3 linked regions of the Astyanax mexicanus genome follow. The protein of the gene in region 2 interacts with the protein of the main gene of each other region in a biochemical or structural test. Links are inferred from orthologs where the notes say so. Each region holds a gene or a part of one and is shown on either strand. Other genes may lie near its edges.

Region 1 (10,883 bases), on a different chromosome or scaffold from region 2:
TCAACAATTATGAGAAGTCAGAAGCCTGCAAGCTACTTTAGATGTGATAAGTCTCAGTCTGATAAAGCCATGTCTGAGTGTGTTCACAAATATTCCAGTCAGTCAGAGATTTTTTGGACGGTATGTATCAAATACAAATGTATAAAGTTTTTGTTTATCTATTTGACATGATGTAACTCTGTGTTAATCAACAGTGCAAATAAAAAAAACTTCTGTACAAAATCAATTTCAAGTGTGTAGAATCTAACTTTTCTGTACTACTTATTTATTATTTATATACTCTAATTAATTCATTATCACTGTAATTCTTTAACACCACAGGCTATCCATTATCAAACTAAAACTTCCAAGTACCACTACAGGTCATTGAAATGAAACATGAATGTGCCACACACACACTTATACAGTAGGCTAGATGGAGCATTTATTTTGCCAGCAGTTCTGCCACTTGTGTGGAATTTGTCCACTTTTGTCATTTGCAGGCTAGCATAGTAAAATAATCATTATTGTTGGTGAGTACAGTAAACATTCTGTGATATCCTGGAAAGCCTAAGACAGAGGAACATGACAGGATTGCAGTTTAGTGAACTACAGAGTCTACATGACATCCCATTAAATCCTAGATGAATTATTCAGCTATTATTCTATTATATGGTTAATCATACCTTGTTGAATTCCACAGGGGACAATTACAAGGCTGTAGTTATGAATAAATGTGTTTGTAAAAAAGTATAGACTGATATATGTACTATGTTCTTAAAGCAAACAAATCTAATGTTGTAAAAATGGAAAACTTCATGGATTTCTATCATGAATAATTTCATCAGCAAATGTTCTAATGTAATCTGGGATACACCTTGGTATGCTTTATGTACCACCACTTTTCACAATCTGAAAACAACTAATCATTAACATTTTACATCCTTTGCAACAGTTAACATTTTTACATCCTAAGATTAGAGTGGGGTAAAAATGCATAATATTAATAGCATTTTATGCAAATTTAGGCATCTTAAAAAACAATGCATTTAGCATACACATATACCTACAGTACTCTGATATATGGTATATATGTGTAGGTTTAAAAAAACATAAGAATGTATTAAATTCAGTGGTGTGCAGTAAGGCCCTTCTAATCCTTCAGAGAAGGGGTGACAATAGGTGCATGTAAATCACTACATAATATTTCATCAGGAAATATATATTATAGTTATTGTAAACTATAAGCATATATTTTATGATTAATTAAAATAAAAAACAGCAACTAATTCCTAGCATTAGTCTGCGTTTTTTCAGTTGCTACAGGACTCTTATCTGACTGACAGCAGTTCTAACCAATCAAAACTGCTTTTTAAGATGGCTTCTGCCCCCACATGTCTGCATCACCCTTCTGCTGATTTTTTGAAGAGTGTAGTAATGAGTATATTAGGAAAGTTGCAGGACAATTCAACCAATCAGATTCATGATTGGACGGGGGACGTGTTGCAGAAGGGGTACCCACTATATTAACTGCATGCCACTGATTAAATTCCATTATAGCTAATACATATTGTCACATATTAACATAAATAACAGATATGTCAACGATCAATTGTCTAGCTTCAAATTAGGGCAAGCATATTTCAGCCATATTTTAAAAAATACATACATACATGTGTTAATATAACAAAACATCTCAAATTGAACAAACGTTATGCTATACTTCATGCCAATAGATTTCTGTTACATGTAAAGCTTTAAGATTGGCACTAATGTAACTGTGTGCAAGCATGAGAAATCACAAGAAAGTTTATTTTTCATGTTTTTATTAAAAAATATATACACTATATACACATATGGTTTAAAGACCTTTCACCCAAAACACAAGAGCTTATTGTAGTCTATTATCTTGTAAAGTTTGCATAAAAACAAATATGCTCTTAACCCTGAATGTGTAAATAACGGAACCTGTCAAATGTCACATTAAATGAGATTAAATTTGGATATGTATGTACAAGCTACAAATCTTGAAAGCCAAGTAAGGAATAGTAGCTACTACAACAACACAGCAAAAGCACTGAAAACTAGCACTGATTTTTACATTTTGTATGTGGGATTCTGTTTACATCTTTACAGCTACTAAAAAGTGTTGGGTTGTTTTGTGACAATGAGCTACAGTACAACTGTGAGTAACCTCAGTGAAGTCCATCCTAGCGTAACTGAAGTAAGAGTCTCTTTCAAGGAAAACATCAGACGTGCGAGATGATGGGTCTGTTGCCGTCCTGCAGGTTTTAGGATACGGGCTCTTTTGAGAAAGGCTTTGGGTGATTTAAGTTCATGGTTGAGGATAGAAAAATGTCTCCAGGTGGAGAATGTGAGGTCAGATGCAGAAAGTTCACACAGAGTTTCTGTCAGTGTCTCTCAGAGAGGACAACTGATCTGTGGGAAGCTGTTGGTGTGCTGGTTGCTGTTCCACAGTTCTGTGTAGCTTAGCATGTCATCACTGGGAAAGCCTGAGCTCAGTTCTGTGTAAAATCGCAGCTCTATCTCCTCACCTGCAGGAATACAAGATGTTTCACATTAGTCTTGGAAGCTCATTCAAACACAATGTGGTGATCTATCTGATCTCATTAGACTAAGGCCTCCTAGTGAGTTACTTTCATTAAATCACCAAAAATCTTATCTGAACGTGTGCTGGTAGACAACACATAATGCCTTATTTACCTGAATTATCACTCCACTGGCTCTCTGGACTGTGGAAAGATTCTGCCATGCCTACTTCATTGCACAGGAACCCCTTTCCACTGCTATTGCTTTGTAGCCACTGCGTGCTATCAAGTTCCAATTGCCGTGTAATCTGCAGGAGCAAAACAGAAAATTTGTAAGCGCTCGCCAATTTTACAAATGCCTGGAAACAGGCCTTTGGATGAATTACAAAACAAGGGTATTCCTGACAATGAAAAAGCACAATGGACAGACGAATTTGACATAGAACCAAAGCCAGACTCACCTCAACAATAGCTTGGTTTTCCTCGTAGTCTGTGAATGGCAAAAAAAAACACATGGAATAAATATGAGAATATGACCAGTCATCATTTGATAGGACTGTAAAAACAATTAAATGTTTTTTATTTTTATATACATAAGAAATAATATAAATACTTATGTTACCTGTTGAGTGAACTGGTGAAACTTGAAACCTGCTGGTGTAGTCGTTTGTGCTGTCAGGGCCAATTTCCACTTCATAGCCGGAGCAGTCCGGCACCTCAAAACTGGAGGGAGCGGTGCCTTAAGAGAAGAATGTCCACATTTAATAGGGGGCTCTCATCTATCATAGAAGACATTTAATATAGCCGTAGATATTACAAATTAAAGAGGGTTTGCCTCTGAGGAGCTTACTTAGATTCTCAGTGCTGTCGATGGTGTTCTCCTGAGTGATGGTGTCCTCCTGCTTGCTGTAAGTTGTCTCTCCTGTCGATGATTCATCTATGTTCATTGTCTCCTGCTTCACTTTCGGTGCCTGAGGAGGTAAATAGTGCATGTGAGTTTAAATTTTACTGCCCCAGTGCTTGCTTTAATTGCTTTGTTATTGTTTGTTAGCCTGGTGCCATTACTGCACCTTGCCACCATGGCGCCAACGCCTCACCTTTCTCCTCCTCCTGCCATCCAGGGTTCCTGACAACCGCTTGCCTTTGTTCTTCATAACGTGCAGCATGCGGTAAACCCGGACAGCCTCGCAACCTTTGTTGATGCTTTTGTCTTTCACCTCCTCGATGTCTGGCAGGGAGTTCATGGCACAACGGAAATTGGCTTTCCAGGTTTTGGGATCGGGTTCGGTCACCCCCTCCTTAAACTTGCCTGCAGGCGAGGAACATATTCAGGTTAACAAATAAAGATCTTGCCAACAAGGTTCAAGGTCCTTTTATAGCTATTATATTCTTGCCAGCAGTGGCACCTCACCTGTGTGAATGGCCCACTGTTTGAACAAACAAGCGTCTTTGTCCACTTCCCAGCCGTGACGGGCAGCGTGCTTCCAAGGAATGGAGAACATTTTCTGATCCTGAAGAAAACAAAAACAATGCCATGAGAGGAATACTGTACATGATACTAAGCTCACGAGGGTTTAGGCAGTGACTAGTCTTAAATATCAACAAAAGCACTTGAAATCTCCTAAATATTCTACCTTGTCCACCCAAACGAGTCCAGCGATGGTGTTGGAGTCAATCTTATCCTCCAGCCAGGGTCGCATGCGCATTCTGGACACGGGCATGATTCCTGCAAAAGTCCAGACAGGAACTTGAGTTCAACTTTTTACAATGCCTTGCATGCTTAGCTTATCATGCACAGCAGATCTGGCAGTAACAATGGCAGTAATAATCAGGGAACAGGGAAACACAGTCTCTGTAAATATTTCTATCCTTAAGATATTAAATTACTAATGTATATTGGTAATAACTCAATGCAAACAGCTAGTACTTTACTATGGGATTCCGTTAAAAACACACAGTCACAAACTGTGCAGCCTCAAGTTCCAAACAGCCTACGCTGTGAGAGTGAGTGTACTCCTGCACGCACACGCCCCTTTTCCGGGGTAGCATGTACAGTATAGTGAAATCGAGCCTGCTACAGATACAGAGCAGCTGCAGCAGCACAAGGGCAAGCTGTATATATGTACGTGTGTGTGTGTGTGTGTGTGTGTGTAAGAGATCTATATTAGCTATAAAACACTTTTCTAAAATAAAACAATAAAAACAGCCATTTAAAAATAAAAAAACATTCAGACTCACCTCGTATTTAATCCGATTTATAACGGAGAAGAATGTTGAGTGATAATGTGTTGATAATCCGAGTTCAGCCTGAACTTCTTCTCTCAGTGGAGATAGGAGTGCTTTGCTGGGAGCTCGCGGTGCGCTCTTCTTTTATACACAGTAGAGAGGGGGGGGGGGGGGCTTTCCCAACGTAATGTTTTGGCAGCGCGGCGCGCATGCGCAGTTCCACTACCATGCAGGCGCTCTCAGACTGAAGCAGCATGATTTCCGAGAAATCACGCTGTTAAAAGCTACACAGCTCGAGAAGTTTAGGGGGTGATGATGTTTGGGCTTGGCTGCATCTTACCCTTACCACCACACAAGCGCACGCGCCGGCACGTAAACAGCACATGCACGCGCATATTTCTGAAAATTTTAGCCCATATAAACACCCGTCTTTTTTGTCTCTTTCGCGTAAAAAAAAAATCTCCCAAAACTGCAACTTTACAGGAGATGCAAAAAAAAACATTTTTAATAAATTCAGTTTAAAACTATACATATATTTTTTTCAGTCCATTTCAGCATAAAATTTGTAAAGAACTTTAAAGAACAACTGCAACTTCACATTATGTCACATGAAAAGCCCTGCTTTATTTACATGTAACTTATATGCAACATAACTGATGCTTATTTATATGTTTATTATGTGTGATTCATATTTTATGTATATATGCGTTCCATATATGAATATTATTTTGGCAGCAAGCAATTAACATATAATTCATAAAAGTATCTAATTTCGCATAAATACTAATCTCATTTTGATCTAATTGATATTAGTGCTGAAGTGTTGAATGAAGTGTGTATGCTGTCTGTAGAGAAGGGTAGAATCAGGTCAGATAAAGAAAGCAGCGGCTTTCCGGGAAATGGTGCAGATTTTTACAGAGCCGATAGAGGGCGCATCTGCGCTGCTTCACTGATCTGAGGGGAGTTTTTACAGTAAAGCGGCCTGTTTATTAGAAACGGATGTTTGGACGACCGGCATTTAGAGAACGCAGCCTGACCCCAACCCTACACACTTTCTACAGCTTACACACGCATATACCTTTCATTATTATTATTATTATTATTATTATTATTATTATTATTATTATTGTTGTTGTTGTTGTTGTTGTTATTATTATTATTTCAAAAATATATTATATAAATGATGTACTGTGTAAATCTCCTCAAAAATAGTAAAAAAAAAAGCTTAGAATTAGCATTCTCCAGTTCAGCACAGCAAACAGACGCTGTTCGAAATAAATTTTAAAATGAATATTAAAACCCCATGGTAAAGTCGATTTATCACGGGGGTGTCAGTGAATCTGTGTGTGTGTGTGTGTGTGTGTGTGTGTGTGTGTGTGTGTGTGTGTGTGTGTGTGTGTGTGTGTGAGACAGTAGCCCCGGGCGGTGGGGCGTGGTCAGGGCTGAGGGAGGGGCGGGGCTTTCCTGTGGGATTTCTGTTCTGTAAAGCACTGGGTTTTCCCAGAGCGCAGCCAGCGATATTCCCCACGAAATCCCACTCCAAACTACAGACCAGCTCAGCGGATATTAAGACCATGTTGTACTTTGTCATTACATGTCGCGGAGTTTCTAAAAACGTATATTAACAAAATAAACAATGGAACCCACTGACACTGCTGATAAAAAGTCAGATTTTTTTAAATATTAAAAGTTGAATATATAGAATTCCCTTATGTGCAATATACTTATGTCATATATTTTATTTAATATATTTTAAAATGTGACACATGCCGATGTAATGTAATTGTCCATTTTCAAATACGAAACACATATTTTAGCTATAAATCAAAATATACAATACTAAGTACCAGTACCAAAAGTTTGGATACGCCTCTTCTCATTCAATGTGTTTTCTTATACAATGTTATTTTAATATTTACGACATTAGCTATAAAGGAACACATATGGAATTATTTAGTAAAAAAAAAATCGTTAAAACAGAATATGTTTTATACGTTAGATTCTTCTAAGTGGCACATTTGTCTTTGAGGACAGATCCGCACATTCTTGGTATTTTAATCTCAGTGTCTTCATGAGGTAGAGTTACCTGGCACACAAGAACAGTAGCTGCTTCTCTTCCTTCACGCTGTTTTAATGTATTTTATAATAATCAATGTACAATGCTGCTATAGGAATAAAGTACATTTAACAATATGAGTCAGAAATTCATCAGTTATTCAAAAACCTCGAAAATAATATTCAGTTGGAGTAAATTTGGAGCATTTTGATTGATCCATTAATTGTAAAGATATTGATAAGCACGGTGCTTACACGACAGTAAGGCAAACTATTTAATTATCAATATATTGTTGTGTAATATACAGTATTGTCGATATTTATTCATATATTCATATTCATATATTCATAATGGTAAAAATAAGTTATTTAATTTCGCGTTTTCGTATATAACTTATTGTATACCTAATTTATACTTTAAAATTACAATGTGTAGTTTTAAAAGACATCTATTAGATCTAGATAAGGTTTGAAAGACTGCCTGACACACAAACACACACAGATAGACAGACAGGCGCACATACACAAACTCAAAGCACTCACACTCATATGTATCCCCCTGTATAAAGGGAGGGGCAGCTTTGGCCACAAGCGGCTTGTGTATGAGCACGTGCTCCAAATCTGCAGCCTGCCATCTGCTTCCACAGCCTCGCGCTATTGGATTGAGCATAAAGCCGCGGGAGTTGCGTCATCAGCCGGTCCGTCCCCTAACAAATACCTCCCACCACCCCCACTCCGCTCACAGGCCCCTCCCCCATACCCCCAGTCCGCACACAGACTCCTCCCCCACACCCCCACCCTGCTCACAGGCTCCTCCCCCACATCCCCACTTTGCTCATAGGCTCCTTCCTCCAAACCGGCAAACCTGCACTCCACTCACAGGCTCCCCCCCCACATCCCCAATCCGCTCACAGGCCCCTCCCCCACACCCCCAGTCCGCTCACAGACTCCTCCACCACACCCCCACCTTGCTCACAGGCTCCTCCTCCACACCCCCACTCCGGTCACAGGCTCCTTCCTCCAAACTTTCACTCCACTCACAGGCTCCTCCCCCTCATCCCCACTCCGCTCACAGGCCCCTCCCCCACACCCCCACCTTGCTCACAGGCTCCTCCCCCACAACCCTTACTCCGGTCACAGGCTCCTTCCCCTAAACTTCCACTCCGCTCACAGGCTCCTTCCCTACACCCTCAGTCCGCTCACAGGCTCCTTCCCCACACCCCCCTCCCCTGCGCTCACAGGCTCTTCTCCCACACCCCCACTCCACTCACAGGCTCATCTCTTGTAGACTTTAGATTCTCTGCCCAAGCCCCCATTTTTCCCCACCACTTTCCTTTGGCCCTGTCAGTTTTAACCATAGACTGTGTATAGCTGGACAGAGCATCATCTCTCAAAAGTGAAGCCACCACAGGTCGGGCGCCCCCTGCTGTTCGGTTTCAGAAAGCTGTGTAACTCCACCCATTCCCATAGGTTTCAATGGAAAAACAGACAACTTTCAATCACGTTTTTTTTCTAATATATTGTAATTATACCTCCATTATTTAAATGCAACAGCTAGTGTAACCTCTGCTTATATTGTCAATTTTTTTATCCCCACAGAATTCGTTTTTTAAAACGTTAGCTCTATTCAAAAAGGTGTGGTTATTGTAAAAGGCCTGGTTATGGGTGGGACCAATAACCTGTGACCAGGGTGGGGTTATTCAAATGAGTAGGAGCTCTCCACAGTCTTTCTCCCTACTCTGGTCTCTACTGCGCAGACTCGGGTTTCAGGATCGGGTTTCAGGATCGCAAACATGGCTGAAGATTTTGGCTTCATTTTCATTGAATGAATGAGAACGGTACGGAGCCCGGGAGGGGCCGTGGATAAAAAAAATAATAAAATCGAGTGAACGATGTAGCAGTTCGTGCTCACGTTTTCTTTAATTCGAGTGAACGATTTGCAATTCGTGCTCACGATTTCTTTAATTCGTGCTCACGATTTCTGTAATTCGTGCGCACGATTTCTGTAATTCGAGTGAACGATTTCTGTAATTCGTGCTCACGTTTTTATGCGCAATAAGACAAGAAGCTCGGAGGGAAAGGAGCATTTTCTCTCTTGATCTGTTACAGGGGTGCAGTAATGATAATCAGTTATCTACCTTTATAACCTGCTGTTATTAATGCACTAGTGTTACAGTTAGATGTACAGTACAGTGAGCAGATTTTGCCTGGTGGTGGAATCTCTACAGCGCGTGGGGGAGAGCCGTCCGCGGCATCGGTTCCCCCGCCGCCAGACACCTGCCGCGCGCGCAGGTCTTCACGGAGCTTATTTACCAACAATGTAGACAAATACAGTCAATTCCAGTCATGAATAAAGGAAACAAACATTTTACTGATGCAGGACAACTGTGTGTTATTAAAACCAGATCAAAACAAAGTTATAATGCAATGTGCAAATGTGTTTATTAATTTCTAAATAACATTCAGCCAGCCTCCAAGGAAATGCACACCTTCTTAAATCTGGTTACATCATTATTACTTTTATGATAGATTTAATCTATATTTTAATAATTTGTATAATAAATAAACACATAATTCAGAAAATATACATTTAAGAAGTTTATAATTATTATATTTTTTTTATTTGAAGCTTGTGGCATGTTTCTGGGCAGGACACTGTGATTTGAGAATAAGCAGATATTCAGGACATTTCATCAGATATAGAAACTTAATTATTTTAGGAAACATATTGAAATAAATTATCAAATTGATCCAAATTATTATATGAAATGCCTATTTACTAAATATCTTAATACATTGTATTAATAGTATTTTAGACCAGCTATTTTGATTTTATATAGTGTTACATATTTAAAGCAGCTCTTATATGAGCCATTCATAGACAACTGTCACACCTTGCATTAATTTTGTATTATCTTTATTAACTTTTACAGTGTACATTTGGACCTAAGTCTTATAGCTGTATATTTATATAATTATACTTCTTTACGTTATACTATTGTTGAAAATAAGAAATTATAAACAGTTCCACATTGCATTATAACTTTGTTTTGATCTGGTTTTAATAACACACAGTTATCCTGCATTAGTAATGTTTGTTTCCTTTTATCATGACTGGAATTGACTGTATTTGTCTACATTGTTGGTAAATAAGCTCCGTGAAGACCTGCGCGCGCGGCAGGTGTCTGGCGGCGGGGGAACCGATGCCGCGGACGGCTCTCCCCCACGCGCTGTAGAGATTCCACCACCAGGCAAAATCTGCTCACTGTACTGTACATCTAACTGTAACACTAGTGCATTAATAACAGCAGGTTATAAAGGTAGATAACTGATTATCATTACTGCACCCCTGTAACAGATCAAGAGAGAAAATGCTCCTTTCCCTCCGAGCTTCTTGTCTTATTGCGCATAAAAACGTGAGCACGAATTACAGAAATCGTTCACTCGAATTACAGAAATCGTGCGCACGAATTACAGAAATCGTGAGCACGAATTAAAGAAATCGTGAGCACGAATTGCAAATCGTTCACTCGAATTAAAGAAAACGTGAGCACGAACTGCTACATCGTTCACTCGATTTAATTGTTTTTTTTATCCACGGCCCCTCCCGGGCTCCGTAGAACGGTGACACGGCGTCCATCTTTTTTTACAGTCTCTGGTTTTAACACTCTACTTACAAAAAAGTGGGATTTAAATCGGGCTTGTCCTCATAATGACAGTTTGTAGGACGGGACCGGACAGAAAGTTCATAGGTTCGATTAAAGTCAGGCTGGATTTTTTTGGACCTAAATTTAGCTCTAATTGCTTGTCATGGGCTTTGTTGGTTTTTGTCTCCAAACATGCCCACCACTATTCCCTTAGTCCATTTCCACACCCTCCCTGGTTTGCCATTTATAGATAGAAAAATAGTGTGCTGCAATCATGGATGAAAGCATAACAAACTGTTTTAGCAGAAGTTGAACACAGCCTGTAAAGCTGCATAAAATGCAAGTAAATATGATGATGGAGTAGGAATGGAGATTGAGTGATGGAGATGGAGTTTAGAGCTCAGATAAACCCGGAAGACAGAGCCAC
Region 2 (10,655 bases):
GAAGGCCTGAAAAAAACTGTGGTATTGCAATTCCAGAAATGAGACAGCAGCACTACACACACTCACACAAGTCCAATCATATGACCTGTGTGCTGTGTACGGCACTACCAGCTGGCCTCGCTGGTAATACACAACCTTTTCTGTCCCTCTCTTTCTGTTTCTCTACATGGCGCTGCTTTCTATTTTTCAGAATTAGCTCTGTTTGATATTTTTTGGTGGCCTAGATAGAGTTTGTAGGCTGCAGGCCCTTGGGGATATTTGCCGTTCTACGTCTGTAGTTTTCTTGCCTGTCAAAAAGAGGCATCTGTTTCCTGCTTGGTGTCGGGTCACTTGTCTGGTTCCACTCGCTAGCTCTCCTAACACCCCCATGCTAGGTTTATTCCCAGCTGCCCTGGGTGTGATTTCGAACCGTTAGTTCATTCTACCAAAAATGTGTTAAAATGGGCCTCCGAGGGTGTCAGAATGCTAAGCTATTTTGGAGAGGCTCTTATTTATTGTGTGTGTAAAAAAAAAAAATAATAATGGATGGAGGCATTTTGAAAACAAAAGGCTTGAAAGCTAATTTTAAATATATATACTTACCTATACATTACTTTATTATATACATATAACATACAGTACTGTGCAAATTTTAAGTAAAGAAAAAGCTTAAAAGCTTCTTATCTGGGCAGTAAGTGTTTATTAGCTCAGTAAAACACTAGCAGTAAAACACTAGCAGTAAAACACTAGCAGTAAAACAATAGCAGTAAAACAATAGCAGTAAAACACTAAGTAAAACAATAGCAGTAAAACACTAAGTAAAACAATAGTAGTAAAACAATAGCAGTAAAACACTGGCAGTTAAACAATAGCAGTAAAACACAAGCAGTAAAACACTAAGTAAAACAATAGCAGTAAAACACTAAGTAAAACAATAGTAGTAAAACAATAGCAGTAAAACACTAAGTAAAACAATAGTAGTAAAACAATAGCAGTAAAACACTAACAGTAAACACTAGCAGTAAAACACTGGCAGTTAAACAATAGCAGTAAAACACAAGCAGAAAAACACTAAGTAAAACACTAGCAGTAAAACAATAGCAGTAAAACAATAGCAGTAAAACAAAGGCAGTAAAACACTAGCAGAAAACACTAGCAGAAAACACTAAGTAAAACACTAACAGTAAACACTAGCAGTAAAACACTAAGTAAAACACTAACAGTAAACACTAGCAGTAAAACAATAGCAGTAAAACAATAGCAGTAAACACTAGCAGTAAAACAATAGCAGTAAAACAATATCAGTAAACACTAGCAGTAAAACAATAGCAGTAAACACTAGCAGTAAAACACTTGCAGTAAAACAATAGCAGTAAAACAATAGCAGTAAACACTAGCAGTAAAACACTAGCAGTAAACACTAGCAGTAAACACTAGCAGTAAAACACTAGCAGTAAAACACTAACAGTAAACACTAGCAGTAAAACACTAGCAGTAAAACACTAACAGTAAACACTAGCAGTAAAACACTAGCAGTAAAACACTAGCAGTAAAACACTAACAGTAAACACTAGCAGTAAAACACTAACAGTAAACACTAGCAGTAAAACACTAAGTAAAACACTAACAGTAAACACTAGCAGTAAAACACTAGCAGTAAAACACTAACAGTAAACACTAGCAGTAAAACACTAAGTAAAACACTAACAGTAAACACTAGCAGTAAAACACTAAGTAAAACACTAACAGTAAACACTAGCAGTAAAACACTAGCAGTCATAATCTGCCATAATCTGCTCCGCCTCCACTCAATATGCATTTTTTTTTTTTCTGGAGCGTTTTGCTTGTGGCAAGAACGTGATCCGGTCTTGATCTGACCCAGCAATTAAATATTCTTTTTTCTTTATTAATTGAGCTAAACTAATGATTAGGCGCAGTTTAATCTGATATGTTATATATTATATATTATATATTATCTGATCAGGTAATATACAGCTATGAACAAATGCTGTCTCTGCTGCTCCATGCTGTTTACACACTAAGAGCACGGCATGTGCAGCGTTCAGTGTTTAAAAGCGCAGCAGCACCTTTTTAGCATTCTGTATTAAAGCAGCTTCACTCTGCACAGATATACCATGCAAGCACATCGTCTCCTCTGATTGGTCATATAGATACAATAGATACAAACAGCTAATTTACAAAAAGCAGAGTTTTTACAGCACTGTTTTCCTTAAAACATCTCCTAATCTCTCCTCATCTGAGTTTAATAGAGTTATTTCTAGTTCTCATCATATCAACACCTGGTTTGGTAAATCAAATCTTTAACATCTTACTGATGTTAAATCAGGTGAGCTGCTGACGGAACTGAACATATCATATGCTGGCTTGTCTGAGGGAATCCAGGAGAAATGTGGAACTAAACTTTGTTCTAAAGCTTGGCTCACAGGATATAACCTACTTAGGTAAAAATGAGAAATTCCTGTTACTTTTTAATGTATTATGTTTATTTGCATCTGTTTAAATCACATATAGTGCTTTTTTCAGGCAAAAACACTCAATTAGTGTACTTTTACACAGTACTGTACATATATAAAATTACATTGGGAGTTGACCCACAAGTGCAGTAAAAAACAGAGCTAATATAAAGCTAAAATAATAAAAAAAAAGCAGCTTCTTACCACTTTGGCCACTCTCTCCATCGATTATGTACGGATACTCCATCGGCGGTCGATAGATGTCCGTCTCATAGATCAGCTCTTCCGTCGGCTGCAGGGTGAAAGTGGGAAAAGATCGTTTTTGACCACTCAGAACGCAAAACACCAAAGCAAAGCCCCAAAGTTTCAATGCAGAAATATGAATGCAGTATATATTTATGAGCAGGATGAGAAACACGAGCCTCACATCTTTGTTTACAAGGGCCCAGTAATCTTTAAATTCAGAAGGTGTCTGTGACATCCAGCCAGTCCGGGTTATTTTCTATTACACACAGAAATTATAGTTCAGTAATTCAGTAATTTCTGTGAACAGTTCTTTATTTTTACATCCTTAAAAAATTATATATGTAAGGGTGCCACAAATGGTTTCTTGAGGGATGCCATAAATAAAAGAACCACTTTTGTCTTCAGAAAGTCAGTTTTTGTTATAAGAAATCTTTACAAGAGTGTGAACATGTTCTTTTTTATGATTTTTTAAAAATATTTTTTTTTATATTTAAAGCCCACATCCATTTTTTACGAACTATCCTTTTTTATTATTATTATTATTATTGTTATTATTATTATTATTATTATTTCTCAATGTAAACTAAAGTGGTTCTTTTGTGGCATTGCTTATTAAGCCCTTTGTAGCACCTTTAAAAAAAAAAAGTTTTTTTTAGTAGAAAAGATTGGATAAATGATTGGCTGTAATATGTTAGTTGATATATTAGTTGAATTTGTTACGAATGATTGATTGACATTGGTTGCTCGATAATGTTAATAACATTAGATTTTTAAGACATTTTAAGGTTGAAATTTGATTTCATTTAACAACATATACATATATACACGACAAGAGATTGATCACATCAAGTCATCTACAGTGGATGAGATCAGAATAGATCAGAAGAAATTGTATATTTTTTGACATATATGTGGAAATTAATCAAATGCAAAAAGTTGAAAAGTTACTGTTGTTTAAATGGAAAAGATTAGCAAGCAAACTATATACTTCACAACTGCAAGTACAAGTACAATACACATATACATATACATATATGGATAAGATCAGAATAGATCAGAAGAAATTTTATATTTTTTGACATATATGTGGAAATGAATCAAATGCAAAAAAAAACTTGAAAAGTTACTGTTGTTTAAATGGCAAAGATTAGCAACAAAACTATACACTGCACAACTGCAAGTACAAGTACAATACACATATACATACACATATATATTGCATTTTTAAACTGTAATTATTTAGCATTAAAATGGCTACACAGGCTTAAGGCCACTGTTAGGAACGGCTAAACCCTGTCATCACTTTGACTATAGCTAGTTCAAAACCCAATCTCATCAATTTCAAATTTCTACTGCGATAACTCAACACAACGCAACATCACACACACACACACTTCACCACGCGCTCACACACTCTTAGGAAAGATGGGGAATACTCACAGGTGGGATGATGTACCCCTCCATTCTGTACGAAGGCAACATATGGGGTCTTCTCGGCTTCGCTCTAGCTCTAGCTCTTCGCGCTAACCCTCTCAATGGCTTTCAAAACTGTCCCCGAGCCATTGCACAACTAAATTTCCTCTTACCAAATGAAACCAAAGATCTCGGACGCCGCTCGCATGCACACTCGCACACACACACACCCGCAAACACCTTATCCAGTGGGGGCCACACTGCTGCTTTCCAGGGCCCTTGAAATCAACAGAAAGCGGCTAAAGATACAGTCAGAGCAAGTAGCAAGTTAGCCTAACAGCAAGCGTGACCAAAAAGGACAGGGCTTTCTGTTTGTTACTTCTTTATTTTTGGGTATGTGTGTGTGTGTGTGTGTGAGTGTGTGTGAGAGAGAGCCTGCTGCTGGTTCCTGATTTTAGGGTGATGTCAGGTGGGGATTATAACTACTCAGTTCGAACAGACGCAGTGTGTCACCTCCCCCAATAGCCAATCAAGAGGCAGCTCAGCCAACACGCTTCTTCCTGTCCACCTCCATGCTGCCTGCCATTCGGCGAGCTTTAACGTAGGATGAAGGAATAATTGGTGCCACTTTAGAAGACTTTGGGGGTCGTCTAATTGGCCCGTTTTGCTGGCCGTCCCTAAACGGACCAATATACCCCAACATTCTCCAATGTTGGGCTGTTTTAATGGTTTAAAATGGATTTAAATGGATTTAAAGAAGTAGATTTAAAGAAGTGGATTTAAGGGTCAATTTCAGTATATATCAATATATCTTCCCTGTGTCTGCAGTATAGTTTACAGTTTACGTTTTATACAAACAATGTTATTATAATTTTTAATATTATATATTATTTATAACTTCCTATAAAAAAAGACCGAACGTTTGCTTGGTGTGCATTTTTTTATGTATTATATCTATGTGGAATCAGTAGGACCGAACAAGTATAAAAACGAAACTTTGTTTTGTACAGAAAGTCATTTTTTTTGCAAATCACATTGCCCTAGTAGGTAGAGAATAGTTTATTTTAACATTTAAAAATGATCCTTGCAATTTGGGATGAGAAGACCCCAATTAGTACAAAAACCCAGTATCTTATTTTTAATCAATCGAGAGTACTGTTGCATGCGACCACCAGATGGTACAGGCAGTGTCTCCATATAAGGACAAAGGGTTGACGTTTTAACAAATGTAGAATAATGATACAGAAATGCAGAAATGTAGTGTCCTCAAAAGAGGACAAAGGGTCTTAAGTGGTTTATTCTAATGGACAACAGCTCTCAAATAATGCTAATAGTGTTATGGGCAACAAAATATTTAAAAATAAAGAAAATACATGATGTCCATTGTGATGTATGCAGAGTCTGAAAGGGATAAATATATATATATATATACTACATTGGTATTAATATTAAAGATTTAAAAACTATGAAGGTACACATATGCAGTTAGTTACTTCACATACACCCGGCATAAAAACCTAACTCAGGATTTTTGGGATGAGTTAGAGCTCAGCATTTCTAAAACTCCTTTGAGACAGTTGTAGAACCATTCCAGGTTTTACTTAATGACTTAATTACTGACTGAGATAATCAGACAGGATGTGCAAAACTGGCCTTTGAGCAAAAGGTGCTACTTTTAAAGAAGGTGCTAAAGAATCTAAAGTATAAACATATTTTGGCTTGTTTAACTTTTTGTTTTTTTATAAGTACATATGCATTTCTTTATAGTTTATATATGTATATAAATATATACATTATTTAAAAAATGTAAAAAAAAAAAATAGTAAATGAGAAGGTATGTACTGTGTACATATGTGTTGTTTTATTGTAACTCTTTTAATTAAGTGTGGCAGAAAAAAAATTATAATATGAGGAAGTTGTTTAAAGATTTAAAGAAGTGAATTGTTTCCTATTGAGCTATTTAAACGTATGTGAAACAAATCTGGAAGATTTTGCCTGAAAGGTAAAAAAAAAACTAAGCTCATCCAAATATATCCTTCTTATATATTTAATAAAATGTGTGTCATAGCAATCTGCACAACAGGGTGGGCAATTTTAGTGAAAACTGACGTTTGATGAAAACAAGGTTGACCTGAATTGATTATAGTGAGCTTGTTTAGATTTAAAAAAATACATTTAGATTTTCTTAAATACCTTAGCTTTACCTCTTTACGCTAAGTATGGATAAGATAAAATAAAAATATTACTTAAATATTCACTATTTACTGTATACCTGTTTACAACTGATGCTCTCAAACAAATTAAGAGACAAGAAATTCAAGTAATTAACTCTTGACGAGTTCAGCACAGCTGTTAACTGAAAGCCTGAATTCCAGGTAACTCTACCTCATAAAGCTGACTGAGAAAATCCAGCAGATATGTGTAAAACTGTCTCTATCTAAGCAAGAGGAATACTTTGAAGAATCTAAAATATAAAACATATTCTGGTTTGTTTGAACACTTTCTTGCTAACTGAATAATTCCACATATATTCTTTCATAGTTTGGATGACTGTAGTATTGATCTACAATGCAGATTCAAAGTTTAGAATAATGAAAAAACACTGTATTGAAGGTGTGTCTAATCTGTGACTGAAATTTTACCTTTTAAACCTTATTTAACCTGTTAAAAGTATCTGTAGACATGGCAAAAAAGCCCACCCGCCCCCAAGTTTAAAAGAAACTCTATACAATGCTGTACAAAAAAGTGCTTCAAAATGATGGCAAACATTACATACCTACTATATATGTAAGACTGTGTTCATTCAGATTGAATACTGATCAATTTCCCGGGTGAAAAGGAAGTATATAGTTAAGAACACCGAAAGTATGATCAAATTAGGTAAAGAATACTAAAAGTAAATTTATATATTTAATATATTTTATGAAAATACAAATTAAATTAAACTTTTTCTGTATTTCCATAAAAAGTATTTTTAAGCAGTAGGCTTTAAATTATATGTTGTGTTGATAGAAAATATATGTAGTGGCATTAACCCTCCTATTATCTGTGGGGTAAATTTGACCCCATTTAGTGTTTAAAGTCTCTAAAAAAAAGGTTGACATTAGTTTTGTCATTTATATTCATTGTCTTTTCTTAATTTAATGAAGACAATTAACGAAAAACAAAATGTTTCAAATGTTTCAACTTTAATGTATTTTTTATTAAGGCTGTTTTATTGACATAAAACATAAGAAATATCTAAGAAATATTTGACACATTTTTGTGTGGTAATAATGTTAAGATCACTATGACATTCCATTTTAGAATCTTTTTCTAAATGCCCCTTTACTTTAGGCCCTGATTTAACAAAACATTACTTATAATACTTACATAATACTAATAAAACACAATAATGCCAGAACAGATTATATTTTTAAAAATAAACATAAAGTAACTGATGAGTAAACTTTGCTAACATGTTTAATGATCTGTAATTATGATATTTTTCTGAAGGTTTAAATTGCTGGGATCATATTGACCAGATAATAAATGGTGTTTGTAAATTTGAGGATAGCAGGAGGGTTAAATACTATTTTAAAGTGCACTTATTTATGTGAATAAGTACATTTAATTTATTTCTCAAATTATATATATATATAAGATAGTTTGAGCCAGTTTTTTTAGATTACGTCCAAATTTCCTGTTGAATTGACCTATAAAACTGCTTGAACAAGAATAAAATGAATTAAGTCATTGTACACTGAATAATTTTTCTTTTTGAGTTTATAAAATGTTTTGTATGACAGCAACAAAGTTATTGTAATAATATATTATTGTTAAACAAAAAAAAGAAATGGCAAAAATATACCAAATATATTAAATATTGCATTAATTGCATTAAAAAATAAAGCTCCATTTCATGCACTTATTTTCATTTCCAAAATGCACTTGTAGAATTCATTTTAAACTCTTTGTTTTGAGTTAAACTGTAGTTAGTGAACTCAGAGCTCTCTCTCTCTTGGCTGCAGACGATGAGTTATCTGAGAGATAAGGTAGTTGGTGAGACTGTCTCGTATCAGTTATAATCTTCTGGAGCAGTTTCACCAAGACAAGAAGTGACAGTAGATAGCAGGTCTATATGTAACTCTGGCTGATTTAATCAAACGGCTGTGGTAAAGATACTTAGGAAGAATGTCGTCGGTGTCAGACAAAAACCTTGTATCTCAAAAATGGCAACTTTACAGTAGAAATAGCCTTTTTTTTACACTGAAAATCACAATGAAAAGAATTGGTAGATTCTGTCAAAAAGGGGGAAAAGGCAAAAATGGAGATACATGATAAAATGCATTTAATGCAAATAATTCTGGCTAAAATAGTATAGAGGAGGATTCTCTTCAGGCCTGACTGAAGGTCTAGGACTAGGTTTAATCCCTGTCTGGAAAACTGCTTAGCAGGTTTACTTCATATCAGTTTAAAGCAAAAAATCATCTGAAGGCATGTATCACTTAGGAATTTTTGGAAAGCTTGGCAGCACTAATTAATTGTTTTATAAATGATCCTTTATAAAGCATTACTACACTACTTTATAGTAGCTGATCATCCTCTTAGGTGAATAAAACTCTAAAATATAAAAAATCTAAAAAATGCTCTGAACCAAAGAACATAATACTTTAATAATGGTCAAAAATGAGTTTTTTTTTATACTGTACATTCCATGTATAAATGTATAATTAATAGGTTATCAAACATCAAAGTCTTTCAACTGATTTAATCAAATGGCTGAGGTAAAAAATACTTAGGAAGCATATCGCCAGTCTCAGACAAAAAACCTTGTATCTCAAAAATAGCAACTTTACAGTAGATTCTCTAGTAGATTCTGTCAAAAAGAGAAAATTGGCAAAAATTGAGATACAAGGTCCTGTATAGCAAGAATCACATTGTGCAGCATACTGTACAAACTGAACTGCATTTAAATGTATTGAAAATGCCCCAGTATATTGTTTTCTCCATATCAGTTTAAAGCAGAAATTCATCTGAAAGCATTAATAACTGCCAAGCCCCCAAATGTCCTTTAGCCTTCTTATATTAAAATGTAGCCCATAGAAAATGTTGCAGACTATTGTGGTTTCTTTCATAGTAAGTGATGAATGCATGTAACGTACATTAAGTATTCACAGCACATGTAATTAATTACATTTTAATTTAACTCAAAAACGGCAACTTTACAGTAGAAATAGCCTTCTTTATGCTGGAAGTCACAATGAAAAGCACTGGTATATAGTACAGAGGAGGATTCTGTTCAGGCATGACTGAAGGTCTAGGACTAGTTTACTTCACATCAGTTTAAAGCAAAAATTCATCTGAAGGCATGTATGACTTCTAGGAATTTTTGGAAAGCTTGGCAGCACTAATGAATTGTTTTATAAATGATCCTTTATAAAGCATTGCTACACTACTTCATAGTAGCTCATCATCTTATCCTCTTAGGTAATTTAACTCTGGAAAACCTGAAAAATGGTCTGAAACGAAGAACATAATACTTTAATAATGGTCAAAAAATATTTTTTTATACTGTACATTCCATGTATAAATGTATAATTAACATTAAAATCACACATCAAACTCTTTCAACTGATTTAATCAAATGGCTGAGGTAAAAAATACTTAGGAAGCATATCGCCAGTCTCAGACAAAAAACCTTGTATCTCAAAAATAGCAACTTTACAGTAGAAATAACTAGTAGATTCTGTCAAAAAGAGTACTTTAGTCTTCTTATATTAAAATGTAGCCCATAGAAAATGTTGCAGACTATTGTGGTTTCTTTCATAGCAAGTGATGAATGCATGTAACTTACATTAAGTATTCACAGCACATGTAATTAATTACATTTTAAGAGGAGGTGATTCTGATTCTGTTCAGGCCTGACTGAAGGTCTAGGACTAGGTTTAATCCCTGTCTGGAAAACTGCCTCAGCATGTTTACTTCATATCAGTTTAAAGCAAAAAATCCATCTGCAGGTATCCTTTATAAAGCATTATTACAGTTCCTCACAGTAGCTACCTCAACTGATGTAATCAAATAGCTGTGGTAAAGATACTTAGGAAGCATATCGTCAGTGTCACCCCTTGGCCCTACTCCTTGTTTTCGAATGAAAACCTTGCCCTTGGAACAAAGTTAAAAGGACAAAGGGTGAAATAATATAAAGTTTTTACAAGCATGAACACTGCTGCAGACTGTGTGTGTGTGTGTGTGTGTGTGTGTGTGTGTGTGTGTGTGTGTGTGTGTGTGTGTGTGTGTGTGCGTGCACATGTTTTGAGGTTTTTGCATATCAAAAGTATGTCTCAGCAGGCGAGCCTGCATCACGAGCTCAGCAAATCTGATGAATGGTGAAAAACTTGTGAATGTTAAGCAACATTATAAACAAGTATAGAGAGAAATAATGCTTATGATTAAAAAATAACAACAAAAACAAACTATCTAGCAAAATCTGATCTGATCATGAGTATAAGAACAGCTGATGTTTTGATGTTTTAAATAGAAAAGTTTCTCACCACTGTCAGG
Region 3 (10,136 bases), on a different chromosome or scaffold from region 2:
TTGGGGGGCTCCAGATCGAAAGACTGCATGAGGGATGAGAAGTCTGTGAAGCTGTTACTGTCATGATGGATGTTCATATCCCCTAGAATGAGCATGGGACAATCTTGCTCGGGGATAGAAGACAGTAGCATGTCAAGTTCATGCGTGAACTCGCCCATTTATCCAGGAGGACGGTAGATGACAACGACAGTAAGTTTTGATGGAGTATTAACCAGTGTGGCATGATACTCGAACGAGTTGTATGAGTTTGCAGGTAATAGTGGAGTGTATTTTAAGCCATTCGCGAGCAATAGGACAGTTCCACCTCCTCGTCCTGAGAGACGAGAAGTATGGGTAAAGGAATAATTATTTGAAAGTGCCGCCGGAGTAGCAGTGTTTTCAGGTTTAATCCAGGTTTCAGTCAGAGCCAGTAGTTGTAGTGAGAGATGATTTGCATAAGAGGCGATGAAATCTGCTTTATTAACCGCCGACTGGCAGTTCCACAGCCCAACAGAGAATGAGGTAGTAGTGGGCGTGGCTTGCTTAAGAGGACGCAGGTTAGTATGGTCCTGGCGCCTATGTGTGTTTTTACGCCTTCTGTGCGTACCGGAGATGACAGGTATGTGATGGGAGCACATTTTGTGAGGCAGTAGGACGGGCTGCCTTGTCAGTGGCCTTGCTCGGTGGACTCGCGCAGGTAGACTCGCAGGTCTTTACCCGAGTTAGGTCTTCACACGAGAGGGTCTTCACACAACAGCTGACGCCTCGGCGAGTGTGAGTGACGATATAGGAGTCTGAATTTGCGCGCAGGTGCGGGCGATATAGGAAATCAGCTCCACCAGGCTGTCTTTTAAAGCGTGAGTAACGCCCCTGAGGTGTGTAGACAGAGAATGTGTGAATGAGGGGGTTTGCCACGCCCCGCTCAAGTGAGAATCGCTCAGCCTTGTCCGAAAAAGCGCCCTGAAAAGCGCGTTTGCTGTTGCTCTTACAGCGTAGCTGCAGTTAAAATGGAGTAAAAAGCGCAGTCTGGTGTAGCTTCAGTTCCTGTTTGCTCTCGTAGTGTGCCTGCTCGTAGTGTGCCCGCTCTTAATTTAGAGTACTTACAATTTATAATAGTATATTTAGTACATTTATAGTAGAAACTGCATAATTGAAAGTTTCTACTAAAACATATAGTAGTTACTGAATAATACTGAATAAACAGTTACAAATTATTCGTAGCTATTAATAATTTACAGTAGATACTGTACAATGTAATGTAGCTGCTCATAATTTCTAGTAGTTACTATCAATACATAGGAGAAAACTAATAATGTATAGTAGTTACTGAATAATTCAGAGTAGATACTGAAGGATTTAGTTAGTATTAATGTAAAGTATTTGCTGGGTGACTTATTGTGGTTACTCAGAAACATAGAAGTAGATTTCCACTTTCCGCATTTAAAAAAATGTGACCCTTAACACATAATTTCATGCAGCAAAATCTTATTCAGCTCTTCTAGCCAATGCTCATGGGACCAACAAAGACAGAAGCTAAGTCAGCAACGTTCTAACGGAAATTAGCCAATCTGTCTCCCTTAGCATGCAAAACTGAACACAAGCTTTTTTAGCTCTTATTTAAGTAGACCAGTACCATGCCTTTCACACAACTGAGTAACAATGAAACCTGCTGACGGCGGCTTTACAGGTCCATTAACAAAGAAAATGCATCAGAACTTTAGGCAGCACTTTAAATTATAGGAAAAAAGGGAGTTAGATTGCTCGTATTAAACTGTACTGTCTGTGGTAGTTTGTTCCCGTTTTCCCACGCAGTGTATATGTCAGTAAGGGTGTTTTGGTCAGAGCATAATGGTCTTACCGCTGGGCGAGCCCTGGTGCCACCACTCCTGCGGGGACTGCAGGTTGCTGTTCTCATCTATTGGAGAATGGCTCCTCTTGATAATGCTCATGTATTCGTCGCTTGGTGTCTGCACATATTAAAAGAATGGCTGTTCAGTTCAGTGCAGAACTATATAGTAATGTAGTAATATATTTATTAGGGGTGGGTGATATGGACCTAAACAAATATCACAATGTTTTAGAATATTTTGCTGTAATAATGCTCTTGGTAATAAGACAAAATATATTGTTGCCAATGTTAACAAATGTAACAAACAAACCATTTAATGCAACATGCTTATAAACTGCAAACAAACAATTATACAAAATTATATAGTCAACACTTTACAGCAAATTGCAAATCTATTACTATTGTCTTATATATTTTTTTATATTTATAAAAAAAATTATGATATTATTGTGTATAAAAGTATATGGTACATCCCTAATTAATTAAGTCATGATACAGTATTTAAACCAGATGACTGAGCATGCACCTTGTATTTCCATTTCATATATATATATTGTAAATGTGGAAGCTGTTCTATACATGATATTTTAATTTCATGATGAATTGACCAATAGAAATTCTCGAAAATTGTTTAAAAACATGACATAAAAATGTTTTACATGTATTTTCCTTCTCCTGTATAGCTGCTATTTTAAAATAGTGGTATTGTTAATGCCAATTCCATTACAGAAATTGGACTAAAGCTCTCACCTCTTTAATGAGTCTGTCTAGGTCTGTATTTGCTTGACTGCACTCCATCTCAGACCCTTCAGGTGGGCAGCTCATGTTCAAGGTAGTGGTGGCACTTTTACACACTGTAGAAAGACATAATTATGTTATCTTTGGTCAAAACAGATATTACCTAAAAGCCTCTAAGCTCTAATTAATTTTACTCCACTAGAAAGATGCATTAGGCTCATATGAGTGAACACAGTGAACTTTTCTGTAGCTTAAATATGAAGAAAAGTCTCAAACACACACTTACACTTCTGCTCCTCCTCGGGGACAATCCTGTACACTTTGTAGGGCTCTGAGATGTCCAGCTGTGAGCGTTCTGTCACCTCCTCAAAATCGGGGCTCTTGTTCAGAGCACATCTCAGCCGGGTCTTCCATGTAGCCGGTTCAGCTTTGTCTCCCTCTTTAAATTTTCCCTTAAACACCGCCCAAGCCTAGAGGAACCAAGGTATTAAATATGTATATATATATATAGTTATGATATTGTTGTAATAAATTATATAAAAGTAAACTAACTGCAAATAATGTAATTAGCACAATGTGTTTAAATGTCACATGCATACAAAAGGCCTACAACACTTTTTATGCAGTTTTATTGTAATTAGTCCATTAACATCTCCAATAGGGTGGATTATTCTGTAACCATATTAACTACAATACAAATCTGCTGACTTTTTCGTAAGGTACAGAAAAAAATCTTGTTTGTGTATTCTCTGATTGTTGATGCTTTAATTGAATAATATAATGTGCATTACTTTAAATCACTCTACAAATGCTGATGTTGGCATATTCACAACACTACAATTCTATTTAAATTCTATTTAAAAGAGGGTGCACTTACTGCACACATGCATTAACATATATAGAAAGGTCTATAAAGGATTATATGCACATTGATTCAATGCATAAATAAATAAGATATTAGTAGAGATCAGTTCCTAGGTGTTGTTAAAATACTTCTTCATAACTGGATTTTACTGCTGCAGTCTTTTCTTCCACTGAACTATTTATATGTAAACTAGTCCGTCTGCTATCTGCAGTGCACTTAAACACCACCAGATGGCAGTAGTGTGTGCTTAAGCAGCCAGCATGAGCTGCATTCTGAGAGGTTCCAGAGCTGAAATAACAAATAAGATGCAGAGCTTTCATACCTCAAATAAATCAAAGAAAACAAGTTCATATTCATTGTGTTTTAAAAGTTTTTATGCATCTTGGCATGTTCTCCTCCACCAATCTTATACACTGCTTTTGGATAACTTTATGCCTTTACTCCTGGTGCAAAAATTCAAGCAGTTCAGCTTAGTTTGAAGGCTTGTGATCATCCACCTTCCTCTTGATTATATTCCAGAGATTTTAATTTGGTAAACTCATTATTTTTTTAGTGGTCTATAGGAATTAAATTGAACTTTAAAACAATGTTTGGATTGTGTTGAACACAATTTAAAACATTTAATACTGCATAAAAATTATATAGGATAATTTATTGCAAACTTTATATGACATTTCTTTGTCTTTATTATATATTTTAAGCTATTTTTGTATTATATTCTGTGCTTTCTGTGTGGCTGCAGCGTGTGAATTTCTCTATAGTATAAATAAAGTGATATCTAAAATCCACAAATGAGAAAAATACATTTTTGTTTTAATAAAGAGAGATGCTTACTTTGAAAATGGACGCATCCACCTCTTGGTTGTAGTCCTGCTTTCCAGCGTGTTTCCACGGTATTCTGAACATGGTGTGATACTCATCTTCCCACAGAAGCCCAGAGTAAATATTACTGTTGATCTGCTCGATCAGCCACTGCTTCAGTCTGCGCCCTCCTGGATTCATCTTTAAACCCATTCAAAACACAGGATTCAATAAGTGACGCACTGAATACTCAATACTACTCAATAATATCTGTAGTTCCGCTCTTCTGCAGCTCTGCTCTGGGTTACTCACCTCGGCTCAGTGATCACTATGCTCTGCACTGACTGCTGATCTGAAGATCTGAGGAGATTTATTTTGGGGGAAAGAAAGTATGTCTGTTCATTTTGTGTGAATGGAGCTCGTGGCCACGCCCCCGCTCCCCCGCATCCAATCAAAACACGCCCACCGACGTGACGCCTCCAGCACGGAAAACTTCTTAGAAGCGGAGGCATTTACAAGAAATCGCCTTTCCCTCAGTCGGAGGTTCTCAGGCGGCTGGGGTGGGCTTCACTTCCATGGAAAAGGGACTTTACAACCTTCAGCATGTACTCATCTAACCAGCCTCTGGATCCAGCTGATTTACTCTCTCATTTAAAAACCTTTACTGTAAATATTCACAGCACCTTTATTTTACCTTCAGAATCAATTCACAGCTAAATAATCCAATTAAATAAAGGTTATTTCACTTAAATAGCTGTGACATGCTCTGATAACTGAAAACAGGGTAAAATGAAATAATAAAAAAATAAAATAGAAACAGAAGTATGAAAATTATAAATACATAAATAAATAATATACACTGCCAGTAAAACTTTTTGGATAACCCCCATTTTTCCACTTTATTTTTACCAATTAAGCTCTTCAGATCCAGTCAATAACCAGACATAGGCCTGTCATGATAGCATTTTTTGTGGACGATATATATTATGACATTCATACAAAGCATTTATACCATTTTAAATACAACAAAATTTCAAATAATCAAACTTTGGGAAATTTATACTCTTTTCTTTACCTACTGCAGTCCACACCGTGTGCATGGAGTTGCAGTTATTGAAGATATTTTTACAGCATTATTAGCTAAAATACTGTTCTCTGCTATATATATGTAAACAAATATTCAAATAAACACAACAGATAATATCACAATTATCAAATATTACTAAGGTAGTGTGCATTTAGTGTTTGATAAGTCGATAATGTAATTATTGTGACAGGCCTAACCAGACAAAATACAAAATGTATACATTTGTAAATATGAACTAAAAAGAGGTGAAAACAAACAAAACATTTAATGTAACATGATTACAAACAATTATATAGTCTATAGTCTACATAAACAAACAAAATTATATAGTCAACACTTCAAAGCAAATAGCAAAAACAAATACTATCTATATTACTTATAGTCATATAGATGTTTTGTATTGTTTCATACTATAATGATCCATATTATTGTGTATAATACTATATGCCACATCCCTAATGTTTAATGTCATGATACATTATTTAAACCAGATGTCATTTTATATACATAATGTGAATCTGCAAGTTGTTCTTTACATAATATTGTCATTTCATGATGAATGGAATGGAAATTAATAAACATACACTACTGGTCAATTTTTTTTGCCATTTAAGCTCTTCAGGTCCAGTCAGGAACCAGAAATTATACAAAATGTGTACATTTGTACAAATTAACTTAAACAAAAGAGAAAAAATGTAGTTTTGTAATTTCTTTCTATCTAAAAAATGAGAAAAATATATATTTTAGATTACAGTATATGCAATGGTGAAAATAAATGCTATAAATGCCAATGTTTAATTTTGTTTGGTTTCAGTTTTGGCCAGCAATTTTTGCATCACAAAAATATATTACACGTTATTAACTGACAATGCATCTATTCCACATTCCTTAGAGCGGATAAAGGAAAAACTTTTCCTGATTACCATCACTGTCCAATAACAACACCCACAAAATCTCCAAAATGGTGATTTTACATGAAAAGGCACACATCTTTAAATAAACGTCAGTAAAAAAAGAGGCTATTCCATGTAGGCTAAAATATGAGCATTTAAATCTGTCTATGGATACTTACATATTATTATTTACACAGTGTACCAAGCAGCTATAATAGAAAAAAAAAAATCACTGGACAACAGCTATATGACTTTCCAATCTCCATTCAAAATGCTGTTTACTAGGTTTAGGCTTAGACTAGGTTCATTTCTGTATAAGAAACTGCCCCTATAGGCTTAATTTAATTGTATGTATTTATTTAAATATTTGGGCTGTATGAGTGAATGAATTTAAAATGAGGACTGGCTGAATGCAATCAAATAATCACAACAATGTGCTCACTTGTACAGTAAAGCCTTCCCAGAAGACATTTATTTACAGCATTTGAATGAGTGAAATACATGTGAGTCATTTTACACAGGTTGGTGAATGCAGTGTTGTGTGGGAGTCGTGCACATCAGGGGTGATATTTCCCAGCCAGGAAACTGAACCCCAGTCTACCACAGGTAAGGTGGTGATGTTACCCACTACTTAAACCAGCCACACGTCTCAGAGTGTGGAGGCTGTCATTGCTTTAAAGGGGAATAAACTTTGTTTTAAACTGTTGATTACAGAAGAAACATAGGAGAAACAAGTGCCCACAAACCTATGGAGATATTATTGGTTTCTCTGACAGGTTTAAAGCCATGTCTCGAACTGCATTCATCATTTTGAATGGGGAATAAGTGAATAATAGTTCAGGTTAGGCCTGTTTTAATATAATTATATTATCACCTTATCCTACGTTAAATGGACATGATCTCAATCGTTTTTGCTGGCCTCAATAAAGCTCAGTGGATTTATTTTATGTTTGCTTTACCTATTTAGGAGATTTAAGCATGTTCACATTCAAATTCCAAAATGTAAATATTCTCAATAATAAAAAGTTCACTGCTTTTTAAAAGCAATGTGTAAATACATTAATATGCAGTTATATTATAATATGAATTTAAGTGACAGTAAATGAATTTTAAATGAAAATAATATTGTTTATCGCAGTAATTTCTGGGACATTATAATATTATCGAAAAAAAAAAAAAAACATGTAGTGTTTATTTTCCAGACAGGAATCAAGCCTAGTGTAGGACTACATAAATTATTTTGAATGAAGATTCTCCACTACAAGCTTAATATTGTCCAGGATTGGTTTCACAATAATTACACTATCAACAATATAGAGATATTTTATTACATTTTATACATTACAATACATTTTTCTAAAATCAATATTAATTATTGTGCTGACTTACTGAGAAGATCCCATTTAAACAATGTCATTGTTTGTTGACTTAGATTAAACAGTGGTTTTATTTTATGTTTTTTATTTAGGGTATAATAACGGATGAATAAAGTTCACTGCCCCTTAAAAGTAATGTGTAAATGCAATAATATCCTATTATATCATGATATCCTTATATAATTGGCACTAAATGATCATAAATGACAATGTATTGTTTATCTCATTATTTCTTGGACAACATATCGTCAGAAAAAGGTAATTTAGGCCTAGTCTAAAAACTTCTGGACATCTAGTGTTGGTTTTCTAGACAGGAATTAAGCCTAGTTTTGGACTACATTCATTGATTTAAATAATATTTTTATATTATTATAAGCAAAACATGGTCCATGATAGACCTGTCACAATAATTATGTTATGACTTTCCATACAATATATGCACATAACCTCAATGAATTTAGCTGACCTCAATATAATCCATTTTGTGGTTACTTAATGAGAAGAGACCATTAACCTGAATGTCCTGGTTTGTTGATAATGTTCAAAACAAAATTATATACTTACTGTTCTTTAAAATGAATGCATTCATTATTATGATATTATACTGTTATATAATTCTGTGGCACTAAATGGTCATAGATGAAATTTCTATAGTTTATTGCATTTAATTCTGGGACATTATCCAAAAAATGTTGGTTATCGTGACAGGCCGAATCCAGGAAAAGGCCTAATCATTTTCTGGAAACAAACAAAAAAATGGCTGTAGTGCCGATATAGGCCCAAGTCTACAATGTGTAATGGAATATAACAGTGTGATTGTAGGTGATCATGTTCTGAAACAGTTAATCTTTCATGCCAACCTGAAGTCTAACCTGTAGCCAGGAAGTTAAATATCATCTGGAAACCAAGAAAAGCGGATCTTGGAAAGTGGAGGTCACATGTACTTGGTTCGTTTCAGGATGTGAGCACAGGTTGAGGTTTTGTTCATCACTGAGGTGGAGGTGTTCTTTTTTATACAGGCTTTGTGAGCTGGGGGAAGCTGGGGATGGCATCCACTGTAATGATGAAAAGCAAAGAATGCTCCTCTATTTCAGCTGTGCGGGGTCTTCTCAAACTGGTCTTCAGGTCCCCCAAGACCTGGTTCTTTCCATGGTTCTGTTTAGGCCCAACCAATAACATGTGGAGACTGACCAAAAATGTGGACTGGCCTTGATTAGCAGTTTGAGAACCACTGTTGTAGACCTATGGACAGTGTCTGAGGAATAAAACATGTCACGCACCTTGTTTACGAACACCTGGGCCAAAATTCTGTGTAAAAATCTTTTAAGATCTACTCTAAAGTAACAACATTAATATAAATAGAGAAATTGTTGTACATTTTATACAGTTTTCTGTGTATGTTTTTTTTTCAGTGTTGCCTGGTTAAGTTAAATAATTGTTTGGTTATTTATGCTTTTATATATAATTTGGACATTTAAAATATTTATTTAGGTATTTTTATAAAAATATTAAGTGTCTGAGAATTCCCTGTTCACCCAGCCTGGGACAATGCAAAAACCTTTAAGACAGTAATATTTCATTTTAGTGACATACTGCTAAGCATCAATGCACACATAACTAAATATGAATTAAGTAATTACTTAACAATTGTTAGCATAAGCCCCAGTACCTTTCTTCCCAAAACCAATGGACTGAAGACACTTACTGCATGTTAACATTTAAAAATATTAATTTCACTTATTTATCCTATTGTCTACTTATTTAGCTGAGTAAAGCTTAAGGTGTTCACCTTGCCATGGTAAAATATCACAAAGGAAAATCAAAATGTATCTTTAAAACATGTAAACTTTAGGTCAACAACGTTGACCTACATTTCATTAAATGCCAATTTTTGCAATTGTCCACCCTGCCAGGCAGCTCACCATGAAGTGATTAATCTGGAAAATAGTCATATAAATACGATGAATAGTCTGAAACTTACTAGGGCCAAAAGGCACAGTATTTTTATAATGAGCCATTTGGGTTTCTTTAAAAAATGCATCCCAGCACAAAGATACTGAAAGCCAGCAAGCAAGCCAGATTTGTTTCTCAAATCAGATAATTGAGATGACTCTCTGCACTGTTATTTGCAAGTGATCTGACAGGATTTGCTTTTCTGAACATCACAAAATTCTGCACATGAGTTCATGTGGTAAAGAGGTTGCGTCAGTAACTAACATTTGCCGAATCCAATTCAATTGTAATCACATTTCACATTTCAAACCCTCTACAAATGTGTTTTAGATCTGATTACTTGCCTGAATACATTCTAGATATGCCAAAAATCTGATTTGGGCTAGCAGTCTGAACAAAGCCTATGATGCTTTAGAGTTGGTAGCCAGTACTATAGAGACAGAAGCAGTAAATGCATGGATTAGTAAAAGAAACCTTTCTTTTATGAATACGGTTCATAAATAGTGTTTAATAACATAAGATTTGCACAGAACAGAAGTACAAATTTCTGTACTATAAAGGTGTGAATAATTTACAGTGTACTCTGACAACAGAG

What was found.
Region 1: the proteins of spi1b (region 2) and irf1b form a complex in vitro, tested with the Homo sapiens proteins (2 studies listed by BioGRID). The link is inferred for Astyanax mexicanus from reciprocal best matches to the Homo sapiens genes SPI1 and IRF1.
Region 3: the proteins of spi1b (region 2) and irf8 form a complex in vitro, tested with the Homo sapiens proteins (3 studies listed by BioGRID). The link is inferred for Astyanax mexicanus from reciprocal best matches to the Homo sapiens genes SPI1 and IRF8.

The regions. Positions count from the first base shown.
Region 1 is NC_064424.1:38,522,805-38,533,687, reverse strand, and holds irf1b (interferon regulatory factor 1b), read right to left. Parts: upstream 4,894-10,883; 5' UTR 4,767-4,893; intron 4,255-4,766; 5' UTR 4,250-4,254; coding exon 4,163-4,249; intron 4,040-4,162; coding exon 3,940-4,039; intron 3,838-3,939; coding exon 3,626-3,837; intron 3,500-3,625; coding exon 3,379-3,499; intron 3,268-3,378; coding exon 3,151-3,267; intron 3,019-3,150; coding exon 2,990-3,018; intron 2,837-2,989; coding exon 2,704-2,836; intron 2,535-2,703; coding exon 2,401-2,534; 3' UTR 1,789-2,400; downstream 1-1,788. UniProt on the Homo sapiens protein: Transcriptional regulator which displays a remarkable functional diversity in the regulation of cellular responses.
Region 2 is NC_064430.1:7,875,973-7,886,627, forward strand, and holds the start of spi1b (transcription factor PU.1b), read right to left. Parts: upstream 4,585-10,655; 5' UTR 4,182-4,584; coding exon 4,140-4,181; intron 2,956-4,139; coding exon 2,881-2,955; intron 2,746-2,880; coding exon 2,658-2,745; intron 1-2,657. UniProt on the Homo sapiens protein: Pioneer transcription factor, which controls hematopoietic cell fate by decompacting stem cell heterochromatin and allowing other transcription factors to enter otherwise inaccessible genomic sites.
Region 3 is NC_064416.1:12,909,904-12,920,039, reverse strand, and holds the start of irf8 (interferon regulatory factor 8), read right to left. Parts: upstream 4,723-10,136; 5' UTR 4,545-4,722; intron 4,434-4,544; coding exon 4,266-4,433; intron 3,037-4,265; coding exon 2,853-3,036; intron 2,683-2,852; coding exon 2,579-2,682; intron 1,947-2,578; coding exon 1,838-1,946; intron 1-1,837. UniProt on the Homo sapiens protein: Transcription factor that specifically binds to the upstream regulatory region of type I interferon (IFN) and IFN-inducible MHC class I genes (the interferon consensus sequence (ICS)). Can both act as a transcriptional activator or repressor.